4 linked regions of the Drosophila melanogaster genome follow. The protein of the gene in region 1 interacts with the protein of each later gene in a pairwise test. Each region holds a gene or a part of one and is shown in the gene's direction. Other genes may lie near its edges.

Evidence for each region.
Region 2: the proteins of Cpr11A (region 1) and CG15080 interact in a two-hybrid assay, tested with the Drosophila melanogaster proteins (one large-scale study listed by BioGRID).
Region 3: the proteins of Cpr11A (region 1) and CG12992 interact in a two-hybrid assay, tested with the Drosophila melanogaster proteins (one large-scale study listed by BioGRID).
Region 4: the proteins of Cpr11A (region 1) and Usp12-46 interact in a two-hybrid assay, tested with the Drosophila melanogaster proteins (one large-scale study listed by BioGRID).

Annotation. Positions count from the first base shown.
Region 1 is NC_004354.4:12,484,984-12,489,980, forward strand, and holds Cpr11A (cuticular protein 11A), read left to right. Parts: upstream 1-1,986; 5' UTR 1,987-2,098; coding exon 2,099-2,110; intron 2,111-2,843; coding exon 2,844-3,058; intron 3,059-3,333; coding exon 3,334-3,513; intron 3,514-3,658; coding exon 3,659-4,064; 3' UTR 4,065-4,465; downstream 4,466-4,997.
Region 2 is NT_033778.4:18,781,325-18,786,337, forward strand, and holds the start of CG15080 (uncharacterized protein), read left to right. Parts: upstream 1-1,974; 5' UTR 1,975-2,354; intron 2,355-5,013.
Region 3 is NC_004354.4:17,587,234-17,592,225, forward strand, and holds CG12992 (uncharacterized protein), read left to right. Parts: upstream 1-1,631; 5' UTR 1,632-1,697; intron 1,698-1,754; 5' UTR 1,755-1,862; intron 1,863-2,724; exon of another isoform or gene 2,725-2,781; 5' UTR 2,782-2,968; coding exon 2,969-3,235; intron 3,236-3,283; coding exon 3,284-4,315; 3' UTR 4,316-4,473; downstream 4,474-4,992.
Region 4 is NT_033777.3:22,749,216-22,753,910, forward strand, and holds the start of Usp12-46 (Ubiquitin-specific protease 12/46), read left to right. Parts: upstream 1-1,685; 5' UTR 1,686-2,151; intron 2,152-4,695. Other genes in the region: rumi, read right to left, coding at 24-1,123, 1,174-1,309. UniProt on the Drosophila melanogaster protein: Catalytic component of the Usp12-46 deubiquitylase complex.

The DNA of each region.
Region 1 (4,997 bases):
CAAGTATGCATAACAAATGCGATTTGATATCAAAGACACGGACGAAATAGCAGACATCAAACATCAGAAACACCAGGTTAATTTCCAAGGCGAACTCAGTTGGTTGAGCCAGACGAACTAACTAACTAACAGCCATCACACATTTGACAAGTCGCTGAAATGGCCAAAACGTTTTCATTAGGCCAAGAAGATCAAACAACCAACCAGAAGAAGAATTAAATGGCCAAAAAAAAAAGAGATACTTCTTTTCGAATGAAAAATGAATGCCGTGCGGCATTCGTTTAAGTTATTAAGCATAAAACTTAAATTAGAAGCACCATTAGCGATTATCATTAGAGCTGCGTGTCCGGTCCGGTTTGATTTCAATCTCATCCACGCGTTGGGTAGACAAAATGTGATAGACTTGATTGCTGACAGCCATAAATGCAGTGTTCAATCAAAATATGTTTGCAAAACCCGCCAATCCAGGAATAAATGTATAATATCTATAAGTTGGCCAAAAAATAGTTCAAAAATAATAGATATATATATGTTCAAATGCAAGCCAGGTTTAGCAAACAGAAAATCGAAAGAATATGTCTATAATATTAACATTTTAAAATATACAATATTTTCGTTATACCTTGAATTTTGGGTGTATATGTGTGTCATTGTATTTTTCAAAACAGTTTGATAAGCCATATTGTCATATATCAGGATTTGTATAAACTGTTTACTTTTAGAGCTCTAAAATTGGCAAAAAGGAAATAAATATTAATTAATCGAGAACTAGTTTAAAAAAAGGTAAATTTTGAACATTACATTTTTATGGGGCCTTAAAAATGGAATATGAATAACTATCTTAAGATAACTAGAATTCAAGGCAAGCGCTCTGAGAACCCAATACAAACATGAACCATCAATCAAATAACAATAATGCAATTTACAAGTAAATTCGGAAGATTTAGAAGACCAAACAAAGAGTTTCATAAATGGAGCCATTAGTGTAACCAATAACTATGCAAATGATGGAAATACAAAACGCTGAAAAGCTACCGAAAGCGAAAATCCGATGACCCTGTGCGGTCCGAAATGGTTAAATGGCATTTTTGAGCCCAAGATCTCACGATCTCTTAAGAAGATCCCAAGACACCAAGCACCGAAGACACCAAGACAGACACTGATCCGCCAGAAGAATCGCATTTGATAAATTTTGATAAGACCGAAAACGAAACGGCTAATTAAGCGAAGGCTGACTGATATGCATATTAGCATATGAAACCGAAGAATGAGAATGGGGCATCTTATCAGTGGTGAAGAATCATCATCGCCTCTTTCCGCTGAAGAAACGGATGAAAGATTTGCGGGTTCCATTCAGCGGCACTTTCGGAACTTGGAACTTGGGTGTCCGCTAAAATAAACTGGTCGCCCAAGTTAGTATAGTATATATATAGTTAGTATATATATATATATATATATATTCCATGCTTTATAAAAAATTAACGCAGATTTAAATTTACGCACATGCACACACTCACACAGACACACACACCACACACACACACACACACTCAGGGAAGAGAATCATCATTAAACGTGTATGCTAATTTGATGATGGCGGTTTTCTAATTTTGTTGCCACGAAAACCAGATTTCTATGCTTTTCGATCTGCGATCAGTCTCCGTCAGCAACGGAGATACCGAGAAGGGAGAATTGTCCAGAAGACCCGTAAAATGTTACATCTTCTGGATGCTGAAGATTCACCGATGGATGATGCCCCTCATCTGGGCTAATCCCCTTCCTCACACACATACACACACATATATATATATATATATATATGCATATATACCATACCGATTTCAGCGTTGACAAACTTTGGCTTTTTTTGATTCTAAGCGGCTGCGACGCCGACAGAGGCTCAGTTCGTTGTCCGGTTCCTATTTCTGTCGACTTCGCTGCCGGCGTCGCTGATAATACCATATATAAGGAAACAAGAAGTCGCATCGTTTGTATTTATTTGCTAGAATCTGTGAGCATCGGAACTAACCGAGCCGCTACAATAAAAAAAAAAAAACATAAATTAGTCCTCGTTACGAAAAAAAAAACACACATAAAAATGAAGAGTTTTGTAAGTGCCCGAAAGTACTGAAAAGTATATATTTAATGAGTTATTTTTTTTTTTGTGGTGTCTCAATAAAAAAAAGGATCAAGTGAAAGTGCGCGCAAAAAATGTCCTTCAAAAGTGTGAATACTTTTAAGCCACAGAAATGACTTTAAAGCTTATTTTGAATCTCAAACAAAAGATACACATTAAAATCAATTTAACCGAAGTTCCTGCGAGGCTGCTTTTTAGTTTTTTTTAAGCTTTACCTAAGAATTAGTATGCCAAATTAAAGAACTAATGACCCACACTTTAAGGAAAGTCCGAAACCTAAAGTGTTTGAATATCACCTTGAGCAGCCGCATAGCTCATCGACGTCAAAACAGACGAATGACAAATATCGAAACGGTTGGAACCCATTATGATTAGTGCCTCGGCCCGAAACCAAATCAAATAAATCACAGCAAATATAGATAAAAAAAATTAAAAAGACTAAAAAAAAAACGAAAAAAAAAATAAATAAACGAGAGAATTGCGAGACAAAGCGACGCTGTGCGGTCAGAAACGCCAGCGATTCGCGCGCGACTTTGATTAATTGCCCGTTAATGCGAAATGCAAAATACGAATCCCAATTCAAATCCAAATCAAAATCCGTATCCAAATCCGAATGCGAAAAAAATAAATCGTAACGACTGTGATCCACAGATATGACTAATGCATCGTGTGACAAGTGGCACTAACCAGGCATTCTATCTTTTAGCTGATCCTTCTGGGTTTCGCTGCTCTGGCCGCTGCCGATGTCAAGCATCTGACAGATCGCAATCTGGACCTCTTCAAGTACAATCCCAGCGATATCTACACCCTGCCCGAGGACATCGATGACGACAAGCCGGCGGTGCACTTTAGCGGCGATGTCATGAAGGCCAAGACCGAAACCCTCCAGAACTACAACTCGGGCAAGAAATTCAAGCTGGAGTGAGTATCTATGGTACCTATATAGTTCATAAAGTGATAGTGTTTGGCTAAATTAAAACATAATTATATATTTATATATGAAGTTGAATCGCAGTCTAAAAGAAAACTACTTTAACATAGGTTTATAGATCTGTAATAACTTTTGATGCATAGCAAATAAATTCAAGTAATTTGATATATTTTTTTAAATAATTTACAAAGCATCAAGTAATTTGATATATTTTTTTAAATAATTTACGAAGCATTACTAAAGTTAAAATGAACTTTTTTTTCAGACTGAAGACCCAGAACGGCATCGAAGTGAGCAGCGTGGGCAAACTGAAGGACGACAAGACCTTCGTGGTCAGCGGCTCCTACTCGTTCACCGGCGCCGATGGCAAGCGGTACAAGACCCGTTACACCGCCGATGAGTTCGGCTATCATCCCATCACCGAGCTGGATCTGGACATTCCCGAGTGAGTAACCAATACACTTTACAAAAAAAACGTTTAAGAACTTCTTCAAACTAGCACATTTGCGTACAAATCAGAAGTTTCATACACTATTATTGCAAATGATATAATGAATATAAAAAACTTATTTTATATTTATATATTTTAGACCCCAGCCTTTGGCTTCTGCCGGACAGCGCCAGACCGTGGATCCCAGCAGCCTGTTGGGCAACAAGAACCGTTTCCAGTTCCTGCAGCAGACCCTGGACTCCGATCAAGGATCGCAAGGTCCTCTGAGGGGCAGTGGACAGAGTGGCGATGACTATAGCTACACGTCTCCCTATGGAAATGGCAATGCTTACGGTAATGGAGTTGGAAACGGATACGGAAATGGAGTTGGCAACGGATACGGAAATGGAGTTGGAAACGGACAAGGAAATGGAGCTGGAAACGCATACGGAAATGGAAATGGAGTTGGAAACGGATACGGAAATGGCAACGGCAATGGCTACGATTATCAGCCACCTCAGGTGCCCCTGGCGACGCCATCTCGTCTGTATCTGCCCACCGCATAAGGCGATTATTATTTAGATATACCCTTATCCAACACCCTTCTCCCGCAAGATTTATGCCCCACCCGATTCCCGATTCCTGATTCCCGATTCCCGATTCCCGATCCTCGATTTTCCCCCCAGCTGCAAGTATTTAGTTTTTAAGTGCAACTCCAACAGGCAAATGAAGAGTAAAACAGAGCTAGCGAAATTTTTTTTTATCATTTTTTAGTGTTATACACGGAGCACAATTTTATATGATATTATACACTGATATATGTTATATATCTAGCCTACACAAAAACACGCACACACACACACAAAAAAAACAAACACACACACAAATCCCGAGCAAAGACACAAACGAATCTATGTATATACACTGAGTGATATTAGTAGTAAATAAAATGGCTAAACTAACGATCAAAGTTTTAATGTGTTTTAATTGAGGAATAATATGGATGGGGATATTTATATATATATTTTGGCTTTGTAATAAAATGTTATTGCAAGCAATTGTTGAAATTTTATTCAGCATCGTTACAAAAAAAAATTCGTTGTTTCAGAATAAAGTTAAGTTTTATTAACTGAAAATGAATAGTTTGTTTACTGTTTTATAAGCATGGCATATACAATTTTCCAACTTAGATACAGAATCTATTATTACAGATTATGATTTTGTTCGAATGCCTAAAAGCATGCAACAAACGTATGAAATTCATCTGCATCTACATATAAATATATAAATTAAAGCGATATTTAATGACTTCTAGTTAAGGCTCTTAGCAGCAGACAAGTTTGCTTGATAAATTCGTTATGTATATGGAATTTAAAACTTTTTTAAAAACGGAATAGAGTGGTAGCCAAATGGTCAAAGTTATGACATTGCTCATACGCCACGTTGTACACACTTTTCTCAAAATAATGCCTGCCAATGCTTAACTTTAGTTCGTAATA
Region 2 (5,013 bases), on another chromosome or scaffold:
TTCTTGTCAGCGTTGCATCAGCATCAGTTGCGAATCACAAGCGACGGTTTATCTGCACCTGGCCCAAAAGATTCTACGTCTAATTGGTCTGAATTATGCCATAAAAACATGTCCAATTAAGTTGATCTATTTTATGTCGGAGTGTGGGAAATATTCGTGTCGAATTTTATGCAAATCTCGTTACTCTTTTCCGCATACGTCGCGGAAAATGCGCAAAGAGCTTGGGAAAAGCCATTCATAAACAGGGGCCTGAAGGTCGCGATCTGTTACCTTTGCCATTTGGCAGCGCCACCTTGGGCGTGTGAGCCATTTCAGTGAGACACCTGTGAAAAGGTCAACGCTAATTGCCGTCCCCCAACCATTGGCTGCCAATTGAATTCGATTGAATTTGATTCTCTATCTGCGAGGCAGGTGAAAGTGCTTTGTTCTAGAAACAGAGTTGCAAGCCAACTAAATAACATTCAGCGGAAGTTCAAGACGCGAGTCGCGGTTGAATGATCTCCGAACGCCAAGAGATCCCGTCACATAACTTAGGCCATGAGGTGGAAACCTTCCTCGTACGTCATCAGTCCGCACATAACTCACGCCCACCTGAGGCGGCAGGTGAGGCACACGGACAGACAGGTGGGCAGGCGTTATGACAAGTTGACTGATTGGATTTGCGGCGACGATGTTGCTGCTCCTGTCAATGCACTCATCGCCCGTCGCAATTGCCGCTGGAAAATTGAAATTGAAAAAAAAATGCGATTGAAAAGCGTCCGAGCATCTCGTTTGGGTTACCCAATGCATAATGGATAATGGCGGACGCTGAACGATATGCTAATTAACTTGATTTCCACGATCCATAAACGTCTCACTTAGACAATTGTTTGCTTAACGGAAATTGTGCGGCTGCCGGCATGAGAATATTTTAATTGCCCCAAAAGAAGTTGAAAAAGACCTCTTTTTAAGGCCAATTCTAGCAGACCAAAGAAATATTTGGCAACAAGCTGAGCACAAAAATGTATTTTAAACACCAAAATATTATCTGGAAAATATTATAAAAAGATTTAAATATTTATTTCTACCTGCGCTACTTGATTGCAAACATTTCAACCACATATTTAATCCCAATTTCGCACTTTTTGTTATTATAGGTTTTATAAAGTTTGTAACCAATTTGTAACAAAAGAAATGCGGCAAAGGCCAGCGAAGAAAAAATGGTTTCTACGCGTTTTAATTGCTAAATGTCAATCGGTTTATAGGTTTCCTAACAAAACAAACAAAAATACGAGGAAACGCGTACGAGAGAAGAAAAAAAAACCAAAACAAACAATTCAATTAAACTCATAATGGAATTTGTGTAGCAAGAAAACGACCTTGGCTGCAGAGCAAAGCCTAAAAAGCCAATTAAAAGCTAGATGCACGGCTCGAATGCCACATGGCACTGAGTCAGAATTATGGAATTGTTGTTATGTCTGGCCATATAGCCGCACATATACACATATATCACATATATCAGCGAGGGGTGTAGCACGATTCATAAGACCCCCACACAGTCGGATCGATTTTCCCAGCAAATGTGGTAAAAACTTGTCGCCAGCAAAGATTGCAAAACTGGAACAGCATCGCCGCAACTAACGCTAAAACAAGTTAGCATTTATGGCCGACTTGATTTGCATTTAGTGCATTCTTGTGGACACTCCCCCTTGGCAAAACTCTATCCCCATCCCCGTTTTGTTAATTTCAATTAACCACAACAAATCATTGGAGGATCATTTTTAGCTAGGAGCTATACCGCTCTGTTTGACCAAGTCTTTTGTTGGCCCAAAAGCTGTTAAAGCCGCTTTAGTTGCGCCGTTAACGCTGACTGCGACTGCGCTGCCTACTGATCTGCTAACTGCTCGGCCAGCGTCGACTTCGACGGAGGCAGTTGGATGAAAACCACGAGCGAACCACTCTTACTTACTTTGGCCCGCGACGCTTTTCATTTCTTCAGTCTGTTAACGGCACGCCAACGATGCAGACGCGTCTAAAAACCAGCTCCGGCTAACTGTTAACGCAAGATAGTAATAACTTGATTTGTAAGTGTAACACTCATACGCATCGAGTATACGCACAGTGGTACCAACGACATTTGATTTTGCATCTTTTGCCGAAAGTGCGTGAGCTTCCTGACGTCTCAAGTGGATAAAGTCAAAGTGAATTTCAAGAAATCGAAAATATAATTAATATACAAAAATAAAAGTAAAACGCTTGAATTGCTGCTAATTTGGCGAGTTGGGCAAGTTAGGATCTTAATTAAATTAAGCCAAGTGAAAGAGAAACAACAGCTGCCGTTCAGGAAGAAGAAGAAGAAGCAATAGAGGAGAGTGGTAAGTGGGGTTTTTATTTTTTATTTATTTTATTTTTTTTTTTTTTTTGCCAAAAAAGGCGAATAGAAATTTCAGCTCTCCATTCAACTAACCACACACTCAACGCATTCGACTGTCTTGGCAATTTTGCTGTTTATTTTTTCATGCTCTAATTATTTGGAAATTTCATTTTGTTTTTGCCCACCGACACTCGTTAACTGGCATGCAATTTGTTTGCCCAAAGACTTATGGACCATACATCTAACCAAAACAACCGTCCATCCTCTAGAGAGTCAAGTTGAGTCAAGCTTTATGGGCAGACTTCCTCGTTAAAAGATAAGGTGGCCAGACCCCTGACCAAAAGAAAAGAAACTGGTCCATCAGTATTCTGTGGGTTCGTTTTGGGTTTTTCATCTACATCTCTAAGTCTATCTCCATTGCCACTTCATTAACCCAATTTTCACCTGGAGAAATTTTATGTTTCGTACAAGAAAAATCTTGTTTATCAGGCCAATTTGCATACAGACCCCACTTCCGAGGGCCAGACATTTCTCTTCCCTAATCTTCGATGTGGCATCTGATCTTTAACGGAACTAATGTGTACACTTATTCGTTTGTTTGTCATTTTAACATGAGGGCAAACAGAAGAGGGAAATCATAAATTACGCCGTAGCGTCTTATTCGTTTTATATATGTATTTCTTTATTTATATTTATGCGAACTTTGTTTTTTTTTTTATGTGCGAGCGGACAGCGTTTTCGAAATTAAATACTTTCTAATTACAATAAACGCAGGCGATGGCCGCCGGCCGGCCAATTGCCTGTCGCACGTCCAGCAAAGTCCATATCGTAGCCTTTGGCAACGGGCTGAAATCACGTAGCCGCCGCATCGGCCAATGCCAGCCGATATAAAAGAGGGATGGGTTGGCAGCGGAGTGGTGAGGGGGGAAGTGGCGAAACAAAACTCGCGAAAGTGTCAAGAAAATATAATACTGCTCAGACTCACTTTTTCTTTATTGTCATGTCTTAATGTGGCGCCTGATGTGTTTATTTGCCACTAGCCTCCTCCGCCGCCAATTCATATTCCTACCCCTCCCTCACCTTCCTCCGATGAAAGTGAAACGTGCGAATGACTTTGCGTAGCTGCAGAAGCTTCCATCACTCGTCACTTAGCACGTGCCCAGCGATCCTACCCGTGTGGTCTTCGTCTTTCACGGCTTTCAATTACTCAACCGCATAATGTTCAATTTGTCAAGCGTTGAGCCCGGATTACGACTTTCTCAGCGGGCCAAACAAAAGACTTAAGACACAAACTTGCTTCATTAGTTGGCTTTGTTCGATGGAATGCGTTGCAGATCCTAATGCGCACAAGTTTTGGTGTTGATTACTCACGAATTGAGAAATCAATGCAACCATACCTTTGTTTATATTACAACTTAAATTATCCCAGATGATTTAGCCATACCAAAGAGAATTTCAATTTCAAAGATCAATATCGAATATGCCCAGCGGTCTTTCAAAACCATAATTATCTCGCACTAGTGACACGCACTGAATTCTAAATGTGAGTAATTGCAATGCATTCAGCAATATCAGATTCAAAGTGCATTTAAGCGGAGGTAAAAACTAAAAAATCAATTCAAATGGCTTCCAGGCCGGGCATTTATTGCTGGTTCGCTGGAACTAAATCGTGATTTGCAGTTGCATGTACGGCCTCCGTAAGACCCCCTGATCCTCCTTCGGCACCCCTGGAATACCCACACAGTTGATTAGTCAGCACCCGGCTGGTAGAGCAAGGCAACCATTTGGGGCTTTTTGCTCCGTTTTGTCTCTGTGTTTTCCTTCTAGACCGACAAGTTGAAGTATCTTGGCCTACTGAATTTTTTCTCACACTCCGTGTCTTGGTCACGGATGTGGATTGATTGCTAATGTTCATCTGGGCACATATATATCTGTATATATGTATATATATCTATCTGCGGCAGGCGGTTTATGTGGATACCCTCGCCAAGTTGCCGAGTTGCACAAGTCTGGTTTGGTCTGGGCCAGAATGAGGCCCACACTCGAGACGTGGCCAACAAGTACGGGTACTTGTGGCTATACATTTGCCGAGCCACTCTTGCTTTCTTCAGCTGCTCCATTTGGCGGCTGCTTTGTTTTGTCAGCGCTTGCTTTATGGTTTTTCATATATATAGAGTAGCTACTAGCAGCTACCTTAAGTATTGCTCTGTTGCAATTGTCACATTGTTTTGGGACACTTTTCTGCGGCTCAGTGGCGACGACGACTGTGGCAATAGTTTTGTAATTAGCTTGGCCCATCATTTGCGCAATTCGATTTGCGATGTCCCAGGTGATAAGTGATATTTAAGGCACTAATTTCGCTTGTATCCGGTTATCCGGCTTTTATTACGAGTTGCGCAACCACAGCGCCCCCGCATACCAAAATGTCGAGGGAGAAATACTTTCGCTTTCAAATGCTCGAGCATAAATTCTTGGGATTACGCAAGCTAAATGCTTGCGGCATGTTTTGGTTTGCTGAGCAGGTGCCGCCAATACCAAACCAAAACCAAAAAGCCACCTCCACCAGCTAAACAGCCACTTACCTCATTTGGAAAGCAGCGAGAAATGAAAGTTTTTGTTTTTTCATTTTTCTGCGTTGCGTGAAATTTACATTTCGTTTA
Region 3 (4,992 bases), 5.1 Mb from region 1:
TGTTCGGATGTGGCGTGCCAGCTCTTAGCCAGATTTGCAAATCGGCAACGAGTTGAACGAACGATGGTAGCAATATTTTGACCATCATCATCATTCAAGAGATGACAAACTGCTAAATATTGAAGCAAAAACGTGGAAAAAATAAAAGAAGTGAAGAGAAAGGCAGCCATATGAACCACATTGAATGATTAACACTCTTTAATAGCATTAATGTCTTCATTTGTTTAATTTACTAATTGATTTCGCCAAACAAAACGCTGTATTTTAATGCTTATTGGCTAGTAACCAGAATAACTTGGCTTTGGCTTGGCCAGTAAGTAATAAAAGCCAACAAATGGTAAATAATAGATGGTGGTATCATATCGGACAGTGAATAAGGTCAGTTATAGTTTATTCAGTAGGGGTTTTAGTAAGCGATCAAACTAGTACCCAAAATGAATTAATAAAGGCAAGATAGCAAAGGAAAGAGGTTAGTATTTGCTGGTCAAACCGCCCGTTTTGAGGTCAAACCAAACCCCCTTGAGGGAGTTGGGGTAAATAGTTTTGCTTGCACTTAAACGAAATCAATGCGATTAAAATCGACTTGGCCCAGTCTTGCGGACGGCCAACTGAACTAGCCTTATCAACCATCGAGAATCGGTGTCAGCTAATCGAGCACCCACAACTACAACAACAAACCGCTGTCCCCAATAGTGGAGCACCACTTGGTCATTCCGACCACGTCGCATGGAAATGGAAAACGAGACGAAAACAGAAATGGAAACGGAAAACAAACCTAGAAGCCGAAACCAAAACAGAATAAGAAGCAGCGCCACTCCAAACATGGTCAACGAAATTTGTTTTGTGTTTTGTCACTTTCTCAGCCCAGAACCAAAGAAACACAAACGCGTCATATGGGTGCGCCCTTCAGAAAAATGTGCACAATAATGGGCAAAAGTGTACATGGCTTATAAAGTATTATTCTTACAAATACTGTGACTATAAATCGGATTTAATAACAACTAATCAATTCAATGGACAACTCAGCATTTGCATTATATTAAACCTCTAATGTGAACGCGCTTATGATATTCAAAGTTCAAAGTGTTATTTAGTCAAATAAGGTAATATGTCTGCTAGTAATTTGCCCCCTGCTGTAGTAACTATGTACGTCATTTGCAGGGGTTCTGAACCCAACCCATAGCAGTGGTTCACGTTACACTCGAGCACGTTCTTATCGCAATTAATTGCAGCGCATTGCATAAGCATCGCAAACTTATAGGGTGATACCAAAACGTAAACATAATCTCTGACTCAGCCCAGTGGGTAGCAATTATTAATTATAATTAATAAGCCAAAAGCCAAGGCAAGTCTTGCTTTGATTGGCCAAAAACGCAGCCAGAAGCGGAAAACAAAAACTGAGTCGAATTACACCACAGTTCAAGGGATACAAAAGGGAGTGGGCTGGGGGTCGATATCTGGCTAAGATCGGTGAGCTTACCCAGCCGGATCGGCACTGGAGCGCATCTGAGTGTGTCCACGTCAGCGGGCATCCAAAACAGAGCAGAAATCTTGAGATCCGAGTAATCTAGATATTGTCCTTCAAGTCAGTATTGTGCCACTCAACTGATCAACTTAAGTAGCTTGGAAATTTACATCAAATTATGACAAGTTGTTAGAAAAGTAGTATATACATATTCCTTGGCACGGGCCTTAAAGTAATATACATTTCTTTCTTATAAAATGTTTAATTTTATTACTTGATTTACTTGCAGTTGCATCTGAAGTGCAAGAAGGAAACAAATTAAATATTCACTAGGGCGGAATACTAAGGAAAACTCAAGCCACACACTGAGGAAATCAAAGTAGGAACAACTAAAACTGTAAGTAGTAACGCAAGGAAAATAAGGGAAATTGGGAAAAGGGAAAACAAGCAACATCAACATCTGCAAATCATATGCAGAGCGTCACTCGCATATGGATATGAGATTTCAGATTTTCGTGACCATATCCGGTTGCCAGTCAGCAGTTGCAACTGCAATTGCAGCTTCCATCAAAACAATAGCAAAAACCAAAAGACGAAATGCGGAGCGAACTGAAAACGCAACTTGGGTCTTTTGGGGCCCAGGGAAATCGCATCTTGGCATTCGCCATTGTTGCTATGGGGATTTTTTTCTTTTTTGGCGGGGGGTGTACAATAAATATAGGGTGGAAGTTGCGTAAAACGATGATATGATATTCACACATAGATCGGGCGATAACATCAATAACTAAAGATGATGTGGAAATCAGAAGGTTCAAATGATGTGCCTATAAGGTTACATACATAAATAAATAGATAAATACATACTCTTACATACATACAAAGGTTGTTTTCTAGTCTAGCAAATGATGTTTTAAATAAGAGAAATGTATTTGTAAGAGTACATAACTTGTATCATAAATTAATAATATTATTAAGACTCAACAATGGTTTGGTCTAAAATAATCCACCATTTGATTCAGTGTTTTGAATCCAAATTAAGTTAAGTTTGTTTTTGTTTTGATTTATATCCAGTGTTGAATAAGCTTTTCATGTACTGTGTGTGTGTGTGTGTGTGTGCATATGTTTATGTTCATCTTATCTTGTTTATCTAGCATTGTATAATTAGGTTTAGATTTTGTTAGAATAAGTTTAGATACATCCAGTGCTGTATAATGTTCCAATAACTACATATTTATCTAGTATTGCATAATTCATTTTAGTGTTTAAATAAGTTTAGATAAATCCAGTATTGTTTAATTTGCTGATGAACTTAGCAGTGATTGGCCGAAAGTGGGAAACCTAACCTCATGTTCTAGAAAAAGAATCGCCAACAAATTTCAAGTAAGCAGTGCCTTCTGTCAACTCGAATGTCATTTGGAATTGCCTGAGCTCTATTCAGTTTCGTATACCTCCGGATTACACGTACTAACGTTTGAAAAAAAAAAAACTAAAATTCCAATCAAAATGCCACACAAAAAATTTCCCAGAATGTCACAGGCGCAACTCAAACGTTTGATCAAATCACAAAATCAGAACATAGCAAAGGCCGCGTGTATTTTGGAACCCCCAAAAATTATACAGCAGCCGTCGATGAGGCAGTCCATCATTCCACCGAATCCTGCTTATAGCAAGAAACAGGGCAAAAATGCGGCTCGCCCAAATTCCGAGCGAGCTGGAAAGGTGCCAATGCAGGGGCTGAACCACGTGGTGCCGGAGGACACTGTGAAACAGGTGAAGCAATAAGTATAGTGCAAAAAGCGGGCTTATCGCATAAAATAGTACTTTCAGCATAATCAATCTAAGCAGATGCAACGCAATCGAAGGAATCCATCGTCGAAGATGCAACAAAATGGCAATGAAGCATCCAAGCAGGAGAAGCCCAATCAGCACGAGGACAAGAGCCGTCCCAAGCAGTTGTATTCAAGCGTTGTGGCCAATAAGCAAGACGGGCCCACCGCAGTGAATGCTCCTCCACCCAAGGAGGGCTCATCTGTCAATCAAATTGGATCGTGTTGTCATCATGGCAATGTTTCGGGCGAAAAGCAGAAATGTCCGGATACCAGCTCATCATCCGCCACGTTCACTTGGCCCAGTCAATCGGTTAAAAGCCAGGGGTTTTTCGGAACTAGCGATTCTTCAGCTGACCCATTCAGCATGCAGAATCTGAAGAAGATTGCCCGGGATTTCTTCTCATATCCGGAGTTTCATCCACCGGAGGCCAGCGAAAACATTGCCGCTGCCAATGGCTCCAAGAAAGCTGAGCCCTCGAGGACGAAATCCCAGCCGGGTCTCAACTCTTCGCCGAGAGGCTCTGCCTTGGGTGCCGATAGGTCGGGCCATCCTCAATCGATTGCGGGTGGAACGAATTCTCGCCGGAAGGATTATCCATTGGAGGAGGCCTTCATGACCGTAATCCGCAATCTGCGCGAAAATTATCCGGGCAATGATTCGATTTCATCTTCAAATCGCCCGAATATCCAATTTGATAACTACCAATCGGCGCAAGGTTTCGGCTATGGTTCCAATTCCTATTACAACGCTCAATCGACATCCGCTTACGGCTATCCTCCGACTGGTTTTCCGATGTCCCAGCAGTCAGGCTTCATGCCAAAGTATAACCAAATGCCGACGGCTAATGGTTCAAATTTAAATCAACCGCCATTGATTAGCGAAACTTATCAGGCCGAAGCGCAGCAGCATCCTTGCTGGCCGGTATATATTCCGGAATATGTTTCGCATTTTATGTTCGGTGAGCCACAGGACGCCAATGCCAGCTGCTCTCGTAATTCAAACCACGGCAACAAGATGTAAAATAGAATCCGGAGGGAAATCGGAATAGTGTAGCATTTAAAAATCTATTCATCATTCAACACCATTCGAAAAAAATTGCTAATGTAATACACAGACCAATTCCGTAATCCTAATCATTTATTTTGCATCTATGTATTAATAAACATTTGTAATGTTACAAATATTTTCCATATATTTGTAAGCCAATTACACTTAACCATCTTTTGTAATGATGCAATCCGAAGATAAACAAAAAATGTATGCATCTCAACTACCTCAATTAGAATTTAAGTAAAATGTGTAATGATGATGATGTATAAAGAAATGCCATCAAATTTCACTTTCAACTCGGCGGAAGAAAGTGAAAAACATGCGAAAAAAGAAATTAATGAAAAAATCGAGCAGCTTACCAACAATTGAAATAAAGGAAAAAATCAACTAGTCAGCGTCGATTGTTTGGTGGTCAGTTGTTTGGTTTTCTACTATTACCAAACCAATGCCAACAAAAGAAATTTTTTTCTTTTTTCTTTTTTGGCCAAGTAAAATAAGAAATCAAATAAGATGAATCTTGCCTTATAAAATGTGAAATTTTCCTGCCATTATGATTAGAATTTGGGCTTAAGCTCATTATCTAATCAAAGATATTGATAACACCTGCGAAAAAGCAATTGAAGAAACTTACGATTGATTGATATACT
Region 4 (4,695 bases), on another chromosome or scaffold:
AAACACAATAACATTTCATTTCGCTACAGCTCATCCTTTTTAGGCCCTATGTAAATAAGTTGATCCTCCGGCTTAACCTCGTATTGCAGCAGCTTCACATATCGCTTGAGCAGCTTGCGCCAATAGCACTTGATGTCCTTCATGCGCAAATGCTCCCAGATGAAGTCGTATCCACGCTGAGCGATCTCCTGGGCCAGCGCATCGTTTTTCTTGAAAAAGGACAAGATGTGCTCGTACTCCTGCTGACTGGGGTAGCTCTTGAGCGGCACATAGTGCACCCAGGGCTTTAGTTGGTCGTAGAAGAACTCCTGCCACTCGTCGCCCACATGGAAGACCAGCGACTTGCAGAGGAACAAGTGCTTCAGACGAAAACTGGCGGCCACACCGCGGAAATTGAACAAGTACTTGTACTTGCAGTGGTCCTCGAAGGACACCTCATCAGCAGCCGGTGCGTCCAGTGTATCCTTAGGCGACTTCCAGCCCTGATTTTTGGTGTATTGAGCCTCGACTAGCTCCGGATTGCGGCGCGAGAGCAGAATAAGAGAATCACGTTCGTCCGAGGTGCGTGAACCGCGAAAGAAGCCCAGACTGCGTTTCTGTGACCAGGGTATAGCTGCCGCTCGCTTCTCCAGCTTCTCGCGCATCTGATCCCAGCGTCCAATGCCACGAGGATGGAGCTTGGTGGCCGGTCCTCCGGCCCAGAATGTCCACGCTGGATACATGATGTCGCGGTACTCCTTTGTCTTGGAGAAGGAGAAGACGGGACCACCAGCCGCGTTACCCCACGCCGCATTCAGCTGCGGATAGTCCCTGGTATTGATGATCAAGTCCATGTCGGGCAGCGTAGCCACCAGCGGCAGCAGGAAGTGTTCAATGCCCTCACAGCGGGCTGGGAACATGCAGTTGGCATCCCGGTACAGGCGATGTCCGTAGATCTTGTATTTGGTGCCGTAACGCGCTGAACTCTCGATCATCTGCCGGGTGACACCTGTTGACTTGTAGGGCGCGAGATCCCGTTTCAGAACATTTGCGTGGCAGGAGCAGTCGCTGTCCTGGGGATCACTGCTGCACGGCTTGTAGTCGGCATTGGCTTTTTCGATCTGGCGACGTATCTTGAAGCTAACTAAATTAATTGATTAATTAATTAATCGAAGCCGGCAACAAGTTGCTTACATTCATCCTCGTTTATTTGGTCGGGTTCACTTTGTGCACAGGATTTTTGATCGGCACTGCAAAGTCCGTCATCTTCTGCACCTCCTGTTCCTACCAAACTAATTAATAATACGACTATTAAATGATTTATTAGCATTTCTTTGGATGTAAACAAATTTGTTGGCCTTTGATTGCGGCGTCAGCAATAGGGTTGCCAAGTCAACTGAAACTATCGATATTCCAGAAATGTTTTTAAGGACATAGTTTTTAAAGTAAAATGAATGTCTACAATTGATGTAGAAAATAAAAGACTTTCTGCCATTTAGCTGCAAATAACTTAAGAGGAGAAGTAGTTGTGTTTTTAATAACTTTTTGTTACCTGGCAGCCCAGGCAGCAAAGCAGTGATTGAACTGTTACTTTCTTAGGCAGACCATGTCACTGCATTTGCAGGCAAAGCCCTGCAGTAGTAACCATTATTTTGTATGACCATCCATGTGATGGTCACCCTATGCGAGTAACTGTTCGCCGAGTTTTACTTTTGACGCGGTGTGCACACACTGGCCGATCCAACCATTATAAGAAAACCAACAAGAAACGTCGAAAGTTTTCTCCGTGTTAAAGCCAGCCAATAGCCAAATTACAAACGAAAACGACGATTTGCAATTTGCAAATTATGCGTGCGGCACCTAGTGCAATCGAAACCACGTAAACCCAACGAACGCGAGTGTTTTAGACCACCTGCAACCTGAAACAACCACCATTGTACATAATTTACACGAACAATTTTGCAACGACAACAACAAAGGACGCCGCGCTGAAAGAGAGAAGTTGACATAACTGCAAAAAGTAAATTGTATTTAACAGTGGTGGGCAACTAAATAAAGCCCGGATTGTAATATTGGCAACGAAAAATCGTAGTGGGAGTGGCCCAATTGCGAAAACGATGTTGTTTTGTTGAGACAATTGCCAAAAAGCCACCAAAAGTTCAACTAAAAAAGGTAATACATATGTATTTTTATTTATTTGCAAGTGTATCTGCATCTGTATGTGTGCGCGCGCGTGAGTGTGTGTGTGGGCGTACTACGAATAACAGTTAATTGAGCACTCATCGATTTTTTAGCCCCTTTATTGTGGCTCCTAAAAAAGGCAACTTAAATTCATTTCACCTCACGATCCGATCGCCAGATAAAATACAAAAAATAGAAAAAAAATGGAAGAAAAAACTGTTGGAAAAGTTGCCAGCCATCGTCATTAAGTTGATTTGCTACCGCCGCCGATGCTGCGATTTAATTTACCTGGCATTTGGTTTGCTTTCGAGAGCTCCAGTTTCCCATTCCGCCGCATTCCACCTGGGCTTTTCGTTTCTCGACTTTGATTTTCGTTTCCCATCCAGCGGCCGATTTTCCTGCTCGCCGACAAAAAAAAATCGTATCGCTTTCGTTTTCACATTGGACGGCGCGATATACTGGCTTTTTGTTTTTGGTCCGCGACCTAGGGTCGCATTGCCCCGCCCCTCCCGCACCAGCCCGACCGTCCATCAAAGCACCTGACTAATTAGTGTTGAGTTATTAACTTGATAATTATCGCTAGCCACGAGCGAGGTGCACTACTGGAGTTCTGCAGTGCAGGCCTACTTCCGTAACTCTAAACATCTCTTTCATTTTCCTAAGATATATGTATGTATAAACCATTTTAATGGCTTACTTTAAATCTTATTGTACAACATGGATTAGAGTATGTTAGGAGTAATCTCCAACTTATTTAATGTACTCATTTCGTTGTAATAATGTAGTATGATATCTTAATCAGATTCAACATTGTTGTTGATGAAAGTTAGCGGAAGTTGAATTGTATCTGTGCCTTGCAGTGACTAAGAACTAACTTGGCTATCTTTGAGGTCTTTTCGTTAAACTCGTTTGGAACACCATATCGAAATACTGAAAACGTTAAATACAAAAAAAAAAAAAAAAGAAACAAACACAGTAATTCGAGCTTGGCGCTGACTAAAGCTTCGCTTTGTTTATGGAAATATATGTGGTCATAATCAAGCTTTTGGAACCGAAGTCACACGTAAATCTTTTCTGCGCATTCAGACGTATCGATGCGATTGGGAGCCCCTCGACTAGCGTTTCCAATCAATGGTTCTTGGGAGAAAAACTTCGAATCATTTGCATTTTCAGTGGCGTGGCGACCCTCGCCTTCTAATGACTCGATTGATTTCCATTTTGGGCAACCTTTCTCGTTTGTGTAATGCCGGAAGTCGTTTGTCGTAACTTCTTGTATTGATTATAGATAATAATCGAAGAATGCTTTCCGTAGAACGTCTGCCAAATGGTCGTTGGCCAGCTAAAACAGCTGCCATTAGCCGCAGTCACGCTGTCTGGCTTGGGTCATACATCATTTATGTACTCCACTCCTTTGGGCAGGCAAATGACTGAACCCCCGCCCACCACCGATAACCACCCATTTCCACCAACTCCCACTCCGAAGTTCACGTGAAATGTGGCATGCCTAACCCAACCAGATGATTCATCATAACGTGGCATAGGCAGTTTATGCAGATTCCCTACCTTCCTTCCCTGCCAGCCAAGTGGCTGTAACACATTTTCATTTATGCTCCGCTCTCGCACACAATTTCTCCACCCTCTCGCATTTTTCCGTAATTTCCTGACTGATGAGTGAGCCTGCGCATTGGAAAATCGCTTTTCCAGAGCGGTAACTCGCCTGCCGAGTGGTGTGTTGAATTTCTGTTAGCTTCAGGGCTGGGTTGCTATTTTGACATGCTCTTCGGAACTTCTGGATTCATTATTATAGTTTTATTTTTAATGAGATTTTAAGAGCTTATCAATTTTACTACAATTTCCACATATATTGCCCTCTAAGACACGCTTTTGTTTAGAAATTGTTGCCGTCTTGTTAATTCAATTCCACACACTTTCTTCTGCCGCAGACTGAGACTGAAAATATATCCATTTCGCTGCGCATCGCATGTCCAGCTGTGTCAGCTTCTTTCGAATTCTTTGATGTTTCGAAATTGCCTGTCCGTAGATAATTCAGTGCGATTATATTGCGTGCCTGCTGACTGACCGCTCGTACATCATTAGCTCATCGGTGGGGTTTTGTTAGCTAATGGCCATATACTGCAACTGCATTAATAACATAATGTTTGTGTCATTAACCTGCGAACGGAACGAGTTTCCTGCTCGCGCAGCTGGAAAATCGCTTGCCTTTCGGCGGTGGCGGCTCTAATCTGCATAGAATGCGGATCGTCTTGGAAATGTCAGCTTCTCCCCCTCGCAAGAAAACCAGTTAACCAACTAATAGTGGGCCAAATTGCGATTGGTAGTATTTCAGTAGGCTATTCGAACGCATGCGTGACCGCGTTCGACAGTTGGTTTTGTTTACATTTTGGGTTATTGATCGGCTGGCGCACGATTTGATTCTCCGTGCGCTTATCATCAGCACGCACACCATGGTGATACTACACATATATGTAGCTAATGCGGCGGATCTGGTCATGGGCTCTGTGTCATGGAGAAGCA